Linked DNA regions of Anolis sagrei. The protein of the gene in region 1 interacts with the protein of each later gene in a pairwise test. Links are inferred from orthologs where the notes say so. Each region holds a gene or a part of one and is shown on either strand. Other genes may lie near its edges. The genes, in order: ANKS1A and DOK3.

What was found.
Region 2: the proteins of ANKS1A (region 1) and DOK3 interact in a two-hybrid assay, tested with the Homo sapiens proteins (2 studies listed by BioGRID and IntAct). The link is inferred for Anolis sagrei from reciprocal best matches to the Homo sapiens genes ANKS1A and DOK3.

The regions. Positions count from the first base shown.
Region 1 is NC_090024.1:189,435,078-189,443,342, reverse strand, and holds the start of ANKS1A (ankyrin repeat and SAM domain-containing protein 1A), read right to left. Parts: upstream 3,043-8,265; 5' UTR 2,897-3,042; coding exon 2,694-2,896; intron 1-2,693. UniProt on the Homo sapiens protein: Regulator of different signaling pathways. Regulates EPHA8 receptor tyrosine kinase signaling to control cell migration and neurite retraction.
Region 2 is NC_090022.1:76,938,993-76,946,458, forward strand, and holds the start of DOK3 (docking protein 3), read right to left. Parts: upstream 3,232-7,466; 5' UTR 3,205-3,231; coding exon 3,148-3,204; exon of another isoform or gene 2,461-3,147; intron 1-2,460. Other genes in the region: probable ATP-dependent RNA helicase DDX41, read right to left, coding at 4,240-4,376, 6,405-6,515. UniProt on the Homo sapiens protein: DOK proteins are enzymatically inert adaptor or scaffolding proteins. They provide a docking platform for the assembly of multimolecular signaling complexes. DOK3 is a negative regulator of JNK signaling in B-cells through interaction with INPP5D/SHIP1.

The DNA.
Region 1 (8,265 bases):
CTGATCCCAGATTATGATATTTGAACTGGATGATATGGCAGTGTAGACTCATATAAAAGGTAAAGGTTTCCCATTGACATTAAGTCTAGCTGTGTCCAACTCTGGGGAGTGGTGCTCATCTCCATTTCTAAGCCGAAGAGCTGGTGTTGTCCATAGACGGCTCCATGTGGCCAGCATGACTGCATGGAGTGCTGTTACCTTCCCACTGAAGTGATACCTATTGATCTATGCACATTTGTATGTTTTCAAACTGCTAGATTGGCAGCAGCTGGGGCTAACAGCAGGAGCTCACCTCGCTCCCCAAATTCAAACCACCGACCTTTTAGTCAGCAAGTTCAGCAGCCAAAGTTCTACTAAGAGAAGAGGACAGTTCAGTTTTTAAAAAAGAGTCAAGGTACAGTACTCACACTGACCCATAGAAAAGTCAGTTCAGTTTTTTTTGGGTTGGTATTTTAACTAAGCTCTTCACTTTTGTTATTGCACTCAGAGAAGATTATTGTGTTTTCTATTAGAGTTTAGAGACAGTACCTACACCGACCTGTTGATAAGTCAGCCCAGGTGTTTTTAACTAACATTTCTAGATTTACACATGAGTATATACAGTAATGTGACATACAAACAGTAAAATCCAAGAAAATATTTCTAAGGTTTGACTTAAGAGAAAGAGATACTCACACAATTTAGACAAACAGTGACAAATTAAATAATAATAATAATAATAATAATAATAATAATAATAATAATGTTATTCCTATATCCTGCCACCATCTCCCCGAAGGGACTCGGGGCAGCTTACAGATGCACAAAGTACCTAAAAACAAACATAAAAGTGAACACAATATAAAATACAATAAAATAAAACACAAGCACATATAAAAACATCAATTCAGACTCAACCATAGAGTTGGAAGAGACCTTATAGGCCATCTAGTCGAACCCCATTCTGCCAAGAAGCAGTAAAATTGCATTCAGAGCAGCCCTAATAGATGGCCATCCAGGCTCTATTTAAAAGCCTCCAAAGAAGAAGCCTCCACTCCACTCCACAATCAAGATGCAATCCTCTAACCATTGCGGTAAATAACTTTCACCATGGATGGACTGTAAACATTCGGAATAAAAAAGTACCATGAGGGAAATAAGAATGTTCCCTTTTAAAGAATACATCACTCCAAACCAGCCTGCCTGAAATAATACCTCCTAAAAGAAAGGGGGTGCCTAATAATGCAGTCTGACACCAATTTGACTCAAAGGGAATTGCAGTTTTACAAGGTACTAGCTGTCCCCTGCCACGCGATGCTTTGGCCCAACCTGTGTGCATGTGTTTGTGTGTGTATATGTGTTTACGTGTGTGCGCATATATGTGTGTTTGTGAGTATACATATGGGTGTATAGAAGCGTGCGTATATATTTGTGTATTTATATGTGTACATGCATATTGTGTGTATATGTGTTCTTGTCTATATGCATATTTGTGTGTGTATATATGTATGTGGATATGTATTTATCTGTGCATGTATATATATATATATCTATATATATGCATGTGTATATGTATATGTGTGTATGTATATGTATGTGTCTGTACATGTGTATATTTCTGTGTGTTTGTGCATATATATGTGTGTGTGTGTGTGTGTGTATGAATGTGTGCATATGTATATATATATGAGTATGAGTGTATATGTATATATAGTGTATTTTTGGGGTTTTTTAACTCTGTTCTCCTGGGATGTGTGTGTGTGTGTGTTTACGGGTGATGGACATTCGTTGGACTGTTAGGTGCATTGTGTCCAAATTTTGTCTCAATTCGTCCAGTGGCTTTTGAGTTATGTTGATCCCACAAATGAACATTACATTTTTATTTATATAGATTCTGTCTTCTCAGCCAAAGAGGGTTGTGGGTCAACAAAGAACACATTAGAGGAGTCCATAACATTGAGAAGTGGCAGTTCAAGTGCTGTCAAACTGCTTTAATTCTACAGTGGTAAAATTGGAGTAACAATTTTGGAGTAACAGTGTAATATTTGGAGTAACAGTGGCCTTTTGGAGTGACAGTGGCCATATACAAAATTGGTTGCACAGGGAGTGCATCTAAACTAGGTGTGGGCCAACTTGGGCTTGCCTTCCAAGTGTTTTGGACTCCAACTCCCACCATTCCTAACAGCTTCAGGCCCTTTCCTTTCCCCCTTATGCGGCTGAGGGGGGAAAGGAAAGGGCCTGAGGCTGTTAGGAATGGTGGGAGTTGGAGTCCAAAACACCTGGAAGGAGGACCCAGGTTGGCCCATGCATGAGCTGTCATGACCTACTAATTTGCATATGGTTTCTGATTGGCCAAACTCAACATTCTAACATTCCTAAGAGGCTGAGGGGGAAAGGAAGGGGCCTGAGGCTGTTAGGAATGATGGGAGTTGGAGTCCAAAACACCTGGAAGGAGGGCCCAAGTTGGCCCATGCCTGGTCTACACTGTAGAATGAATGCATGCTATGGGATCCTGGGAGCTGTAGTTCCCTGCCCAAGGTCTTTCTCTCGCCAAACTCCCACCGCCCTGGGCCAGGGCCAGGGCCCACCACTACCCACCTGCCCATTGGTGCAACCGCCTCAAGGTGCTGGCGAGGGACACACCCCCGGGCGCCTGGCACGGCCTCCCTCCCTCCCTCCCTCCGCCTCAGCAGAAAGCCAAGCGCCACACCTACCTGAGAAGATTCGAAAGCGGGTGCCCGCCTCCGCCGCTCCCTCCTCCGCCGCCACCTCCCGAGGAGCCCCCTCCTCCTCCGCCGCCTGAGCCTCCGCCGCCAGAGCCGAAGCCCGAGCTGAGGCGCTTCCCCGAGAGCAGCTTCTCCACGGCGGGCAGGTTCCCCGTGCGGGAGGCCTCCAGCAGCTCCTGCTCCTTCCCCATGGCTCCGGGGAAGCCAGCCAGCCAGTCAGGAGCCCCCCTTAACAACAGCAGCAGCAGCAGCTAAGCCGCCGCCTCCTTTGGGATTCGCCTTCGGCGGCCGCTGCTACTACTGCCGCCGCCGCCGCCTCAGCCCGGCCGGCGCGTCCTTCCGGGGCGGGGCTTAGACAGGCCACGCCCCCTCTCGAGCCGTAAGGCAAGTGGGCGGGGCGGAGGAGGCGGAGGCGCTCTGGTTGGCTGCCTTCCATCTGCTGCTGCTGCTGCCGCCTGAAAGGATGAGGTAAGGCAAGGTGAGGCGGGCAGTGGGTGACTGCATTCCCACCCACCCCACCACCACCTTTCTTCTCACTTTGGGACATGTATATGCGTGTGTGTGTGTCTATATATATATGTGTGTGTGTGTGTATATATACATACACACACATACACACACACTTATATTTGAATGTATGTGTTTGCGTATATATATATACACAATTGCATGCATACGTGTGTGTATATATATGTATCTGTGTGTGTATATATATATACACAAACAGATATATATATGAACACATTTGCATGCATATGTCTGTGTATATGTATCTGCTTGTGTGTGAATATATATGTATACGTGTGTGTGTGTATGTATATGTTTCAAAGTGACAAGAAAGGTTACAGTGGGTGAGAAAGGCTGTCACCCACTGCCTACCTCAACTTGTCTTACCTCATTCTTTCAGGCATCCTTTGCGTGTGTGTATATATATGTGCATACACGTATGCGTGCATACGTGTGTGTATATTTATGTATCTGTTTGTGTTTATGTATATATATACAGACATGCATATATATGTGTGTGTGTATGAACATACTTGCATACATATGTCTGTGTATGTGTATCTGTGTGTGTGTGTATATATATGTATACACACACACACATACATATATGTGTGTATATGTACAAGGTTACAATGAGTGAGAAATGCAGTCATATATGTATATAAAAACACAAATTTGCATGCATATCTATGTATATGTATGTGTATGTATATATATATGCACACATGCCATACATTTGCATGTATATGTGTGTGTTTATGTATATTTATATATACATACATTTGCATACATAGTGTACATATTTCTTGTTACTTTGGAACCTATACACGCACACACATTTCAACATGTGTGTATATGCATATGTATATATCATACATCTACATGTAAATGTGTAAATATTTTTGTCACTTTGGAACCTATACACACACGCATATATATATATATACACATACATACATATACACATTTGCATGCATATGTGTATGTATGTATCTGTGTGAATGTATGCATATGTATATATATACACACACATACATACATTTGCATGTATGTGCATGTATATACACATATTTGCATGCATATGTGTGTGTGTTTATGTATATGTATGTTTATATATACATACATTTGCATGCATTGTGTATATGTTTCTTGTCACTTTGGAACCCACACATGCATATGTGTGTATATTCATGTATATGTATATTCATATTTATATAAATGCATTTGCATGTATATGTGTGTATACATTTCTTGTCACTTTGGAACCTATATATATATTCACACACATATACACACACACACATTTACACACATATGTGTGTATATGTATATTTATATATACATACATTTACATGTATATCTATTTTTGTTACTTTGGAGCCTACACACACACACACATGTATATTTATATACACATACATACATGAAGTGTTCCTTCCAGTGTCATAGAGGGCTTCCTTCAAACAAAAACAAGCATGGCATTTTCTTCAGCTCAAAAAGTACATTTTAATCCTGTGCTTTTAAGAAGGAGGGGACTGAGAACCCTCTAGGTGAAGATCAATCCCAAGGAACTGAATTATTTCAATTAGGCATTTTGAGCATAGTCTCTTTATACGTGATTCATGACATTAAATTTGGAAACACCTAATTTGTGTCATAAAATGTTTGAATGATAAAGCCACCTGCTCCAAGACTCTGTTGCTTCTTCTATCAAAGTCTTCCTTGGAAATCACCTACAGATGAAAGTTGCAGGTATTGGCTCCGCTTAGACAGGATGGGGAGGTGTGGTTGGACACAGATGTCAGCTTTGCAGACCAAATATTGGGGACAGTACTAATAAATAATAGTAATAATAAATAATCATTAAGTAATAAATAAATACATCATGTGCAATTGTGATTTCTCAGTAAATATTCTGTAACAGCCAGAACTTTAAAGCAACAAGTCACAAGCAGTACATATATAGTCAGCCCTTCACATTCACCAAGGTTAAGGGCACAGGACCACTGTTAAAGCAAAGAACTAGTGAATAAAAATTGACTCAGTTGTAAATTTCTGCTATAAACTGACCACATACTCACATTGGAAACTTAAGAGATTCCTAGAGAGATGTTCTTTCTAGAAAATTTAGATCCTCCAGCATGATTGAATGAAGTCAACCATAGAGTCACATTGGAGGAGCTAGACATTCTCAGAGAGGACATTTAAAATCAAAACCATTAATAATGAAATCTTGTTGTTTTTGTTGTTTATTCGTTCATTGGCTTCCGACTCTTTGTGACCTCATAAACCAGCCTATGCCAGAGCTCCCTATCGGCCACTGCCACCCCCAGCTCCTTCAAGGTCAAGGCAGTAACTTCAAGGATACCATCCATCCTACTTGCCCTTGGTCAACCCCTCTTCCTTTTTCCTTCTATTTTCCCAAGCATCATTGTCTTATCTAAGCTTCCCTTTCTTCTCATGACTTGGCCAAAGCACTTAATCTTTGCCTCTAATATCCTTCCCTCCAGGAGCAGTTGGGCATTATTTCCTGGTTTGATCTTCTTGCGGTCCAAAGTAGTCTCTCAATTTTCCTCTAGCACCACAGTTCAAAAGCATCTATCTTCCTTTGCTCAGCCTTCCTTATGGTCCAGCTCTCACATCCATAGGTTAACTGCAAATGTGGAGAGGCAACAGTATAACAAGTTACTGCGGGGAGGACGGGGGGGGGGGGGGGGGATAAAGAAGCCTTAAGTGATGGCTTCAAAGAAATCTGATGAGAGGGATTGCCATTCATTTTTATATAATAACAATCCTAGTTATTTTTCATGACAAAATCATTTTTAGGCATTTGACCAGAATGTTTTTCTTTTTTAAAAAAAGTAACAACATGCCTTAATAAGAGGATGCCTTCCTTGTGCAGTAATCAATAACGTTTTAGAGTTTTGTACAATGAATTTATTTTGTTTATATCAACTTTCCAATATTTGATTTAAGCTTGAAAATATGGATTAAGAAGACAGAAGATATCAATTTCTCAAGAGAGTGATTAACACTAAAGGCTTATACTTCTCTTTTTCCTCATTCCATCTTTTCAGAAGTAATGAGCTCACAGTGGGTGGAGGACTGATTCAAAAACAATCTACAGCAGATGAGATAGCTGATCTTTGAATGTAACGAACTGAAGGCTAAAAATCAACCTATTTTAAGCAGATAACTTTCCCATACAGTGGTGATTAACGTAGTATGATGTGTATGACTTCAGCATTCCCTGTCTCATTTCTCTGATTAAAGGATTGAAACTAAGACTTTGCCTGAGATCTTCATTAGAACGCTGCTGACAACAATCTAATTTGGCACAATTGTCTAGAATGATGAACAAATGTTGCAGTTAACAAAGTTGTCCACCCACTTTTGTCTTTTCTTATCTTTCATCTGTCATTAGGGCATTACTAATGTGTAGCTTCTCCTTCAGTTGTAGGACAATGGGCCTCTTAGCTGGCTTGTAAGTGTGTGATGCGAATTTCACTTCTGTGCATCTATGGTAATAGGATATTGTATCAGGAATGTGTAAATGATGGACAGTGCCCTTGAAGGCAAGAGGATGTAGTAGGTATTTCTATGATGGAGACCAATCACATGCAATTACCTCTCTGAACACCTATGTGAAGACGTGAACCAGATGCCTCATAAATTCAAAAGGGGAAGGAGGTACTGTGTATGATGACAGCATATAGCAGGAGTCTGGTATTCCTTTAGTATGCATGAGATATTAAAAAAATTGAATCCATCCTTTCAAAACACAGGAAATGAGACAAAACATGAATTAATACAGCTGAATATGCTAGGATGATGTGCATGCTAATTTAGTTTGCTCTTCCATTTCTGGTCAAACAGGTTCTGCGGATTTATGAAGTATTACAAGTGTTGCAACATTTATTTGATTAGAAGCAACAGTTGGACAGAAACTAATGTACATGCCGAGCAGTTATACCAACCCTCATTTTAAAAAATGTTACTAGCTTCAATATATCCAACAGGTTCTTCACTAAGTATTTATCCCACCTTGCCCACTGAAATAATAAATGGCATGTCACATTGAGATGGTGTTGGTTCTCCTGGTAGGGAACATACTAAACTCTTTCACCAGTGAGTTGACTTGATGGATAAAGGCATCTGCAGTTAATTTCCCCTCTACTTACTGCAAATGTATTGGAAGTGGTAGCTTGAACTCAAAGGCACAATCAACCTTCAATCATAAGTTCTGATTTGCATTCTGTTGCTGCAATATTTCAATTTTGTATCTGTGTCTGGTGCAAGTTTTATATATGTGTGTGTGTGTTTGATCAAAATTGTTTATTTTATATATTTTATGTTAATATGTTTTTGACTATGTTGTATCCCGCCTCGAGCCATCAAGAGATACAAGTAATAAGAAATTTATAATTTTTATTACTATTATCATTATTACTTGAACTCTGGAATATGTCAATGTGTGATTTCCTGTATTCTTTTCCTATACTATTTACACCATGCTCATACTTGAAAGCATTGCACTAAATCAAATTAGTTCCAACTAGAATAGCCCCATTGAACCAGTGGGACTAACATATGTGTTGATTTATTATCCAGCAGCTGATGTACTGGGGCCCCTTCTACACTGTCATATAATCCAGATTATCGAAGCAGATAAATCACATTATCTGCTTTGAACTGGATTATATGAATCTACACGATCACATAATCCAGTTGAAAGTAGAGAATCTGGACTTTATATGGCAATGTAGAAGGGGCCTGGGAGTACTCTAATTAGTACTAACAATTTAATATAGCCCATTATCTTGTCAGATGTAGGGTGTATCTATGCTGTCAAATTAATGCAGTTCCATAGCACTTTAATTCTCATGGCTCCATGCTATAGAATCCTGGGACTCTGCCAAAGAGTGCAGGTGCCTCAACACAGGCTCTCTTGAGCTCATTTTGCTGATGTCAATTAAACAACATTAAACAGGGCTCTGAAAATGAAATTTTCAGTACAGGTTCATCAAGTTAGGCTAGATTGCTATCACATCTG
Region 2 (7,466 bases), on another chromosome or scaffold:
ATTATAATATTGAATTATTATTATTACTAGTATTATATTGTATTACATTATAATATTATCTATTGAGTCCACAATGCTCTCTGGATGTAGGTGAACTACAACTCAAGGTCAATGCCCAACAAACCCTTCCAATATTTTCTGTTAGTCATGGGAGTTCTGTGTGCCAAGTCTGGTTCAATTCCATCATTGGTGGAGTTCAGAATGCTGTATGATTGTAGGTGATCTATAAATCCCAGCAACTACAACTCCCAAATGTCAAGGTTTATTTTCCCCAAACTCCACCAGTATTCAGATTTGGGCGTTTTGGGTATTTGTGCCAAATTTGGTCCTGCAAATGAGATTTATAATACTAGCAAAATTACAATTATGAAGTAGCAACAAAAATAATGTTATGGTTGGGGGTCACCAGAACATGAGGAACTGGATTAAGGGATCGCGGCATTACAAAGGTTGAGAACCACTGTTCTAGGCTTTTCGGGCTATATAGCCATGTTCTAGAAGCATTCTCTCCTGACATTTCGCCTACATCTATGGCAAGCATCCTCAAAGGTTGTGAGGTCACAACCTCTGAGGATGCTTGCCATAGATGCATGCGAAACATCAGGAAAGAATGCTTCTAGAACTTGGCCATATAGCCCAAAAAACCTACAACAACCCAGTGATTCCAGCCATGAAAGCCTTCGACAATACAGAAAATCTTCTGTTTGTGTCCTCTCACTAGGTTACCTTTGGCATTATGGGGACAATAAGCCCTGCTTCTTCTTCAGGGTTGCTGCCAGGCTGAGATAATCTAAGTGCAGCTATTTGAACACTACTCCTCAAATTCTAAAATATCTGTGCCTCTGGGGGTCATAATGGAGTCAGTGAAATTTGCAAGTGGGTAAAGCAGCTGATTGAAAATGAGAAAGCCACTGAACCATTTCGTCTGAGTGATCACACCATCTCCTCCTCACATGTGCAGGCAGCAGCTAGGCCTCTGGTCCCCCACCAGCAGCACCCTTGGGAGGGCTGACGCTTGGCCTCCATTTGCTGGTGACCACAGCACAACCATTGAACAGTGGGAGAGAGAGACGATTCAAGCGAATCCCTGACCCCACAAGTTGTGTAAATTGCTTATCAACTTATGGCAATTCCATGAATTTCATAAGCAAAGAATGCTCAGAGGTGGTTTGGCCTCTTCCTTCCTCTGAAATATAGTCCACACAGCACCTAACATTCCTGCTTCTTGGCAGGGGGTTGGACGGGATGGCCTACGAGGTCTCTTCCAACTCAAGCATTCTATTTGTTACTGGTCTCCCATTCAAGTACTAACTTTGCTAAGCTCTCAAGATAAATTGAGATCTGGTGTGTTTAGGTCACCATAGTAATTTAAAAAGCAGCCTATAGATATTGTAAACTTGGTTATTGTGGTGCCCATTTGTTTCTGATTGTTTTCTGACCATTTCGAAGGGGTGGAGGTAAGTCCTTGGGACTGATAACATGCCATAAAACTTGAAAACTTACTGACTACCTACAAATTGTCTTAAAATGTAACATTTGGAAGAAACAAGAATTTTGGGCTTTTTAAAAAAATTGCTTCTGTTACATAACACTGTTATTTCTAGCCTGTCACTTTCAAGATATGGAGTAAACACATGCTGCATAGGAAAGTGCCACCTGGCTGGAATGCATAAGGAAATAAAGTGAAAGCTTTTTTTGAATCCACTATGAGAAATAGAAATCCCATTTCCCTAACTTTGTTAATGTCTGGGAACGCTTTCCAAAATCCTGAATGACAAACAAGCAGAACAAAGCAAATAACCTGGAACAGATGGAAAACAATTGTGTTGATTTGTAGAGGATCCCATGGAAAAAAACCCATTAATTTTCCAAGGAAAGAAATCTTTTAATAGCTATCTTGTAGCTTCATTACTGAAATATGAATATAAGAGTGGGAGGCTGGGTTAGTCAGAAAGGAGATACAAAATGAGCCATTGTAAGAAAGCAACCAAAAACTGTACACACAAAATAACTGCTCCTGCCATATATGCACACACATATACTAAGGTTGACTGAAAGGTCGCAGGTTTGAATCCGGGGAGCGAGGTGAGCTCCCACTGTTAGAAATGGAGATGAGCACCAACCCCCCCGAGTAATACATAACTGAACTTAATGTCAGGGAAAAAACCTTTACCATACTAAGGCTTCCTACACACATATCTGTCTGTCCCTGGTATCATAAAACTTTGGTTGTAGGATGAGAGAGAAATGAAGTATCACATTTGAATGTGATTTTCCTGCTTCTTGGCAGGGGGTTGGATGGGATGGCCCACGAGGTCTCTTCCAACTCTATGATTGTATGATTCAACTTTCTTCACTGATTTAGCATTGGTTTAATAAGACTTTGAGCAGGGAGGATGCATAACCTTACGGATGAATAGATGACCATGTAACAACAATGTACATTGTAGGAACCAAAGATCAATGAATAATTTTTATTTATTTACTTTATTTATACATTGCCGTCTTCCCTGAGGGGACTCAAGGCAGCTTTTTACATGTTATTACTTGTGTGACTGTCCAAATTGAGGCTCCAAATTTAAGCTTAGCACAGAAAGCTAAAAGCTAAAGAACAGCTTCATATATTACAAGATAAAAGTTTCACCTTAGTTTACCCCTGGAAACTAAGAATCCCAAAAGCTGCCCTAAGAATACAGAAAGCTAAATCCATCTAGCTCAGTGTTGTTAACACTGAGGTTTTAGCCAATTCCGTTTTCCTAGAGATCACACCATTTCAGGTATAAACAAGGGAACCAGTTCAAACTTTATGGCGAAATTAATTTCCACCATACCAGTTAATTCACACAACTTGTCACTTTAATTTTATTACTGGAATAATTTACATTCAAAGGCAATGTAACACTTGGCTACAATTCAGTAATGTGACACAAAAGAAAGACTGGAAACAGATATTAGGTTTCAAAAAGCCCAGCAGTTGCAGGTTCCATCCCGCATCACAAAAGCCCCCCCCCCCCCCCCCAGCCCCTAGAGATGACCTGGAAAGTGCTAGGACATTGTTACCCTGAATCTAGTGGGACTTAACAATTTGTCCAATGAAGGCTTCCTGGGATAATCCCTTCTTTCCACTAAGCAAATACCCATTTTTACCTTCCCAAATTTTGGATGATGAATATAGAGGATCCCATCTTTCACTGGGCACTCCATGGGATAGGCTCCAAACAGTAAGGAAGGAGAAAGAGATCACTCAGCCTGTGAGCTCTTGTGGCCGCCACAGGAATGAGTCAGTATGTACGATAGCACTGGTGACTTCCTCTGCCTGCCAACTTCCTCTTTTGGGCCTGCATGCATACTGGGAGCTGTACTAAAGAGAACAGTCCCGGGAGACACACAGGCAAGTCCCAGGGGACTTTTGATTCAGCAAACGTTGGTGGGTCGCCAGAGTGTCTCCCCACAGCTGCAGAGGCCACCTCTGAGCAGGCCTACAACAGTCACGCAACAATGATAGAAGCAGTTGAGGAAGAGGAACACATCAAACTAAGGATATGTAAAACCTCAAAAGTTTGTGACTAGAGTTAATGAAAGCAATAGCAGAACTCCCAATGGCTGGAAGCTTGGAAACGCTATTATTTTAGACTGCCTCCAGTCAGCACAGTCAGAGGCAGAGGAGTTCTGGGAGCTGAAGTCCAAAGAAGGATCTTTTCCTTGTGGTGATATTCAGTTCAGTTCCTTTCTTCCTTCCTATCACGGCCACCTGCTGGGTCATATGGAGCTTGCTCAATGATGCATGACAACAGTTACTGATGCAATGGCTGATTGCAGCACTAGACCGCCACATTTAGAAGGGAACAGCTCAAGATCTTAAAAGGAAACTTGGGTCTGAAAAGAGCCATTCACACCTATATACACCCAATCTGTGGGACCATGGCCAAGCAACTGTCAGAAACCAGCACAAGGCATCCCACTATGTACATCCGCAATACACAGGAGCTTGGGAGACTGGGCAATCTTTGTGGCTTGCTTCTGGCCTAGGGCAAGGTCAGTAATTACCACAAAAACGAGAAAGCAAAAAGCCCCTAAAAGGGAGCAACTGCACTGGTATCTCTTCTTTCCTACTCTAGTTGACAATATTCTGCCGTACAGTAAACCAAACCTACAAATGGCAGTTGAGAAATATTAGCCCCCAGGGCACTGAGATCTGTTCATTTGCTTGGTTGTGGCCTGCCAAAAACCAGAGTGTATCTAGAAGTCCATGGAGCTATGGGCTAGATAATCCTTGCGTCCAATGTTGCTGACTTGCTTCGTCTGCATGGCTTCCAGCTTGGGGCAGTCAGTGATACGATGACCCAGGCCCCCACAGAAGGCACAGCCCCTCTCGCCTGAAAGATTAAGAAATACATTGTAGATTGTAAGCCCAAAGAAAAATTAACATTTAGTAAGCTGTTCTGAGTGGCTTTGTGGCTGAAGAGTGGAATAAAAATCACGCAAACCAACAAGTATTTTTCATCAGATATCATTTTAGATCATTCTTATGGAGTTTTTCATGCTGAATTCAGATCAGTGTTTTTTTTTTCCTCTACCACATGTAGTTTTTACGATGTGGCTAATCGAATAATTAATGCATTTCTACACTGATATCAATAAAATCTAATTAATATCAGTGTGTAAATGCATTACTTATTCGATTAGCCTTATCACAAAAACTACACATGATAACAGCTTGGGTCCAGACTATTTGACAAACCACATCTCCCTCTACAGACCAACTCAGACACTGCGGTCATCAGAGGAGGTCCTCCTCTCAGTCCCACCCGTCCCAAGCACAGCTGGTGGGAACGAGAGAAAGGGCCGGCCTTCTCTGTGGCTGCCCCACACCTCTGGAACACCCTTCCTAAGGAGTTAAAGATGGCCCCCTCCCCCACCGCTTTCAAGAAACAGTTGAAGACATACCTTAGCTCACTGGCTTGCGAGGAGGAGGAGTTGATAAAACTACCATTATACCTCTGATTAATAGCTATCATCTGTATCTGTGCCCTGCTCACCCTACCAGCTCAACTATAGATTGAGCAACTATCAATCTATTTGCCCCAAGGAACTGGGAAATTGATGCTTCTGTTTGATGTTTTGTCTTATATCTGTAATAACAGGCTGCGTTTTGTATTTAATTTTAGTTGTTAAGTCATAATTCATGTTTATATGTTGGGTTGTTAAATTTTGTTAATATGGATGTATTGTTGTTGTATTCAGGCATTGAATGTTTGCCTTTTATGTCTGAGATCTACCCTGAGTCCCTCCAGGGAGATAGAGCAAAATATAAATAAATAAATAAATAAATAATTATTATTTGAAACACAACAAGATAAATCTACAGCAAACAAGATCATTCTGCTGGCTGTTGTATTGGATCACATGTCACACTTCCCAAATGTCTAGGACTGTGTGATGTATCGGCCAATAATGCGTGCAGATCCCAGTAAGGTGGCCTTATTATTACTATTATAGAGAAAAAATAAACACAGTGAAAAACTCTATAAATAAGCCACGTGAAAAACTCTATAAGAATGATGTAAATCATATCTGATGAAAATAATTGTTGGCTTGTGTTACACAAATATGATGTGAAATAGGCAGACTTTATAGTAGTCTGCTGTAATGTGCCATTTGTCATATTTTTAAAAGTCGCCATGATAGAAAACAATACATATTTAAAATCAGCATTAAGATTATTTAAACTGTGCTATTCTCATTTCTGATTATTACAAAAAGTTGGATTTTGTTGACTTGTGCTATTTCAATAAATACATATTGTCAAATCAGAATTCAGGTCCATGTTTATGCAACATTCAGACACTAAGCACTTGTCATGGCGATGTCAGGCTCTTTGGAACACATTGGTAAAGAGCCTGACGTCGACATTGGTAAAGGTGATGGAAAAGATTAGGCCTCCCTCTTGTATTACTGTTTGATCAGTCCTTCTTCAGTTGTTTCTTCTTGAAGCTACTACGCAGATAAAGGGGGTTTATCCTCTCTCATTCCAGATATATGTATGTGCGGGTGCCCTCCCCACCCCTTTTTGTGGATTACATTCTTCTCCTCTCAGCACATGGGTATTCTAGAATGCATGGGCATTCTCCCTGCTTCTCTCTACCAAAATCACCGGCAATCCTCAGGGCAAAACAAAAACCCTGATTGTGCACCGCTGGCTTAAAGTATAACATCAGCAAACCATGGCAATTGTTCCAGTTTGCCAGCATTAGGCTGTTGATTTTCTTACAAGTCAACTGTCACTGGGATACTTTCTAGGGATTAAGATGCCTTCCCAATTCCCAATGGAACTGCACATCTACTGCCGCAGACCATCCCACTCTCTTAATCACTCCCCTCCCCTCCAAGAACCAGCTACTTACCATTAATATCCAACATGGATTCATCTCCACAGTGCAGCACTTGCAACACGGGGGGCACTTTTTGCTTGGCCTCCAGCAGCAGTGCCTTCAAGTCCATAAGCACTGACTCATCTGGATAAAAACAGGAAAGTCGGAACAAATCAGAATATTAGAGAGAGCAAAGTGGACATCCATTCTAGAGCCTAGACCAGTGGCTCTCAACCTGTGGTCCATGGACCACCAGTGGTCCACAAGAACTAAAATATGGTCCATGGCAACAAGAGTGACTGGTCTTGCAAAAACTTCTTATAGTGTTGACACTTATTAAATATGGTTTTCTGTAGGCGAGCAAATCGCGACTACTGGATGGCATATGTTCTGTATCGGAAACTAGAGCCGATGTGGTCTATCCAATACAATTTTCTGAATCAGCACCCCAAATAACCAAACCGAATCTAAAGCTGACCAAAAACCGATTCGTAACCCTTTTGGTATTAATGTTGGAGAGTGGTCCCTAGTCAAGTGTTCCCTGGTCAAAAAAAGATTGTGAACCACTGCCCTAGTCCTAGTTATAGAAAGCAGCAAAAATTGCCTGCATTTGAGTAGGCAATATCTCCACAAGGAAGGCAATAGTCTCCAGGCAAACCATACCCTGGTTCCATAAAATATTCTACTTTCTGCATGAAAAGGGATCCTGTAGCAGTTAATGCAGATTGAAAGATTAACTATATGCTCAGGTGCATGTTACTTGGCTGATCACACCATGCTGTATGTACCTGTCTGGGCCTTGAGATGCTCAGGAGAGGCCCTTCGCTCAGTCTCACCTCCATCTCAAGCTCAATTGGTGAGAATGAGAGATTGAGCCTTTTGGGTGGCTGCCTCTTGACTCTGGAACTCTTTTCTTCCCAGGAAAGCCAGAATGCCCCTCCTCCTTCCGGCAGCTAAAACCTTTTAATTCAGCAAGGCTTTTAAAGAAGGTTTTGCAGATCAAGATGGGGGGGGGGTGTTGTTTTTGATATGGTTAGGTTTTCATTGATTTTAAGGATTTATCTATTTATTTTTAATACCCGTAATATTTAACTC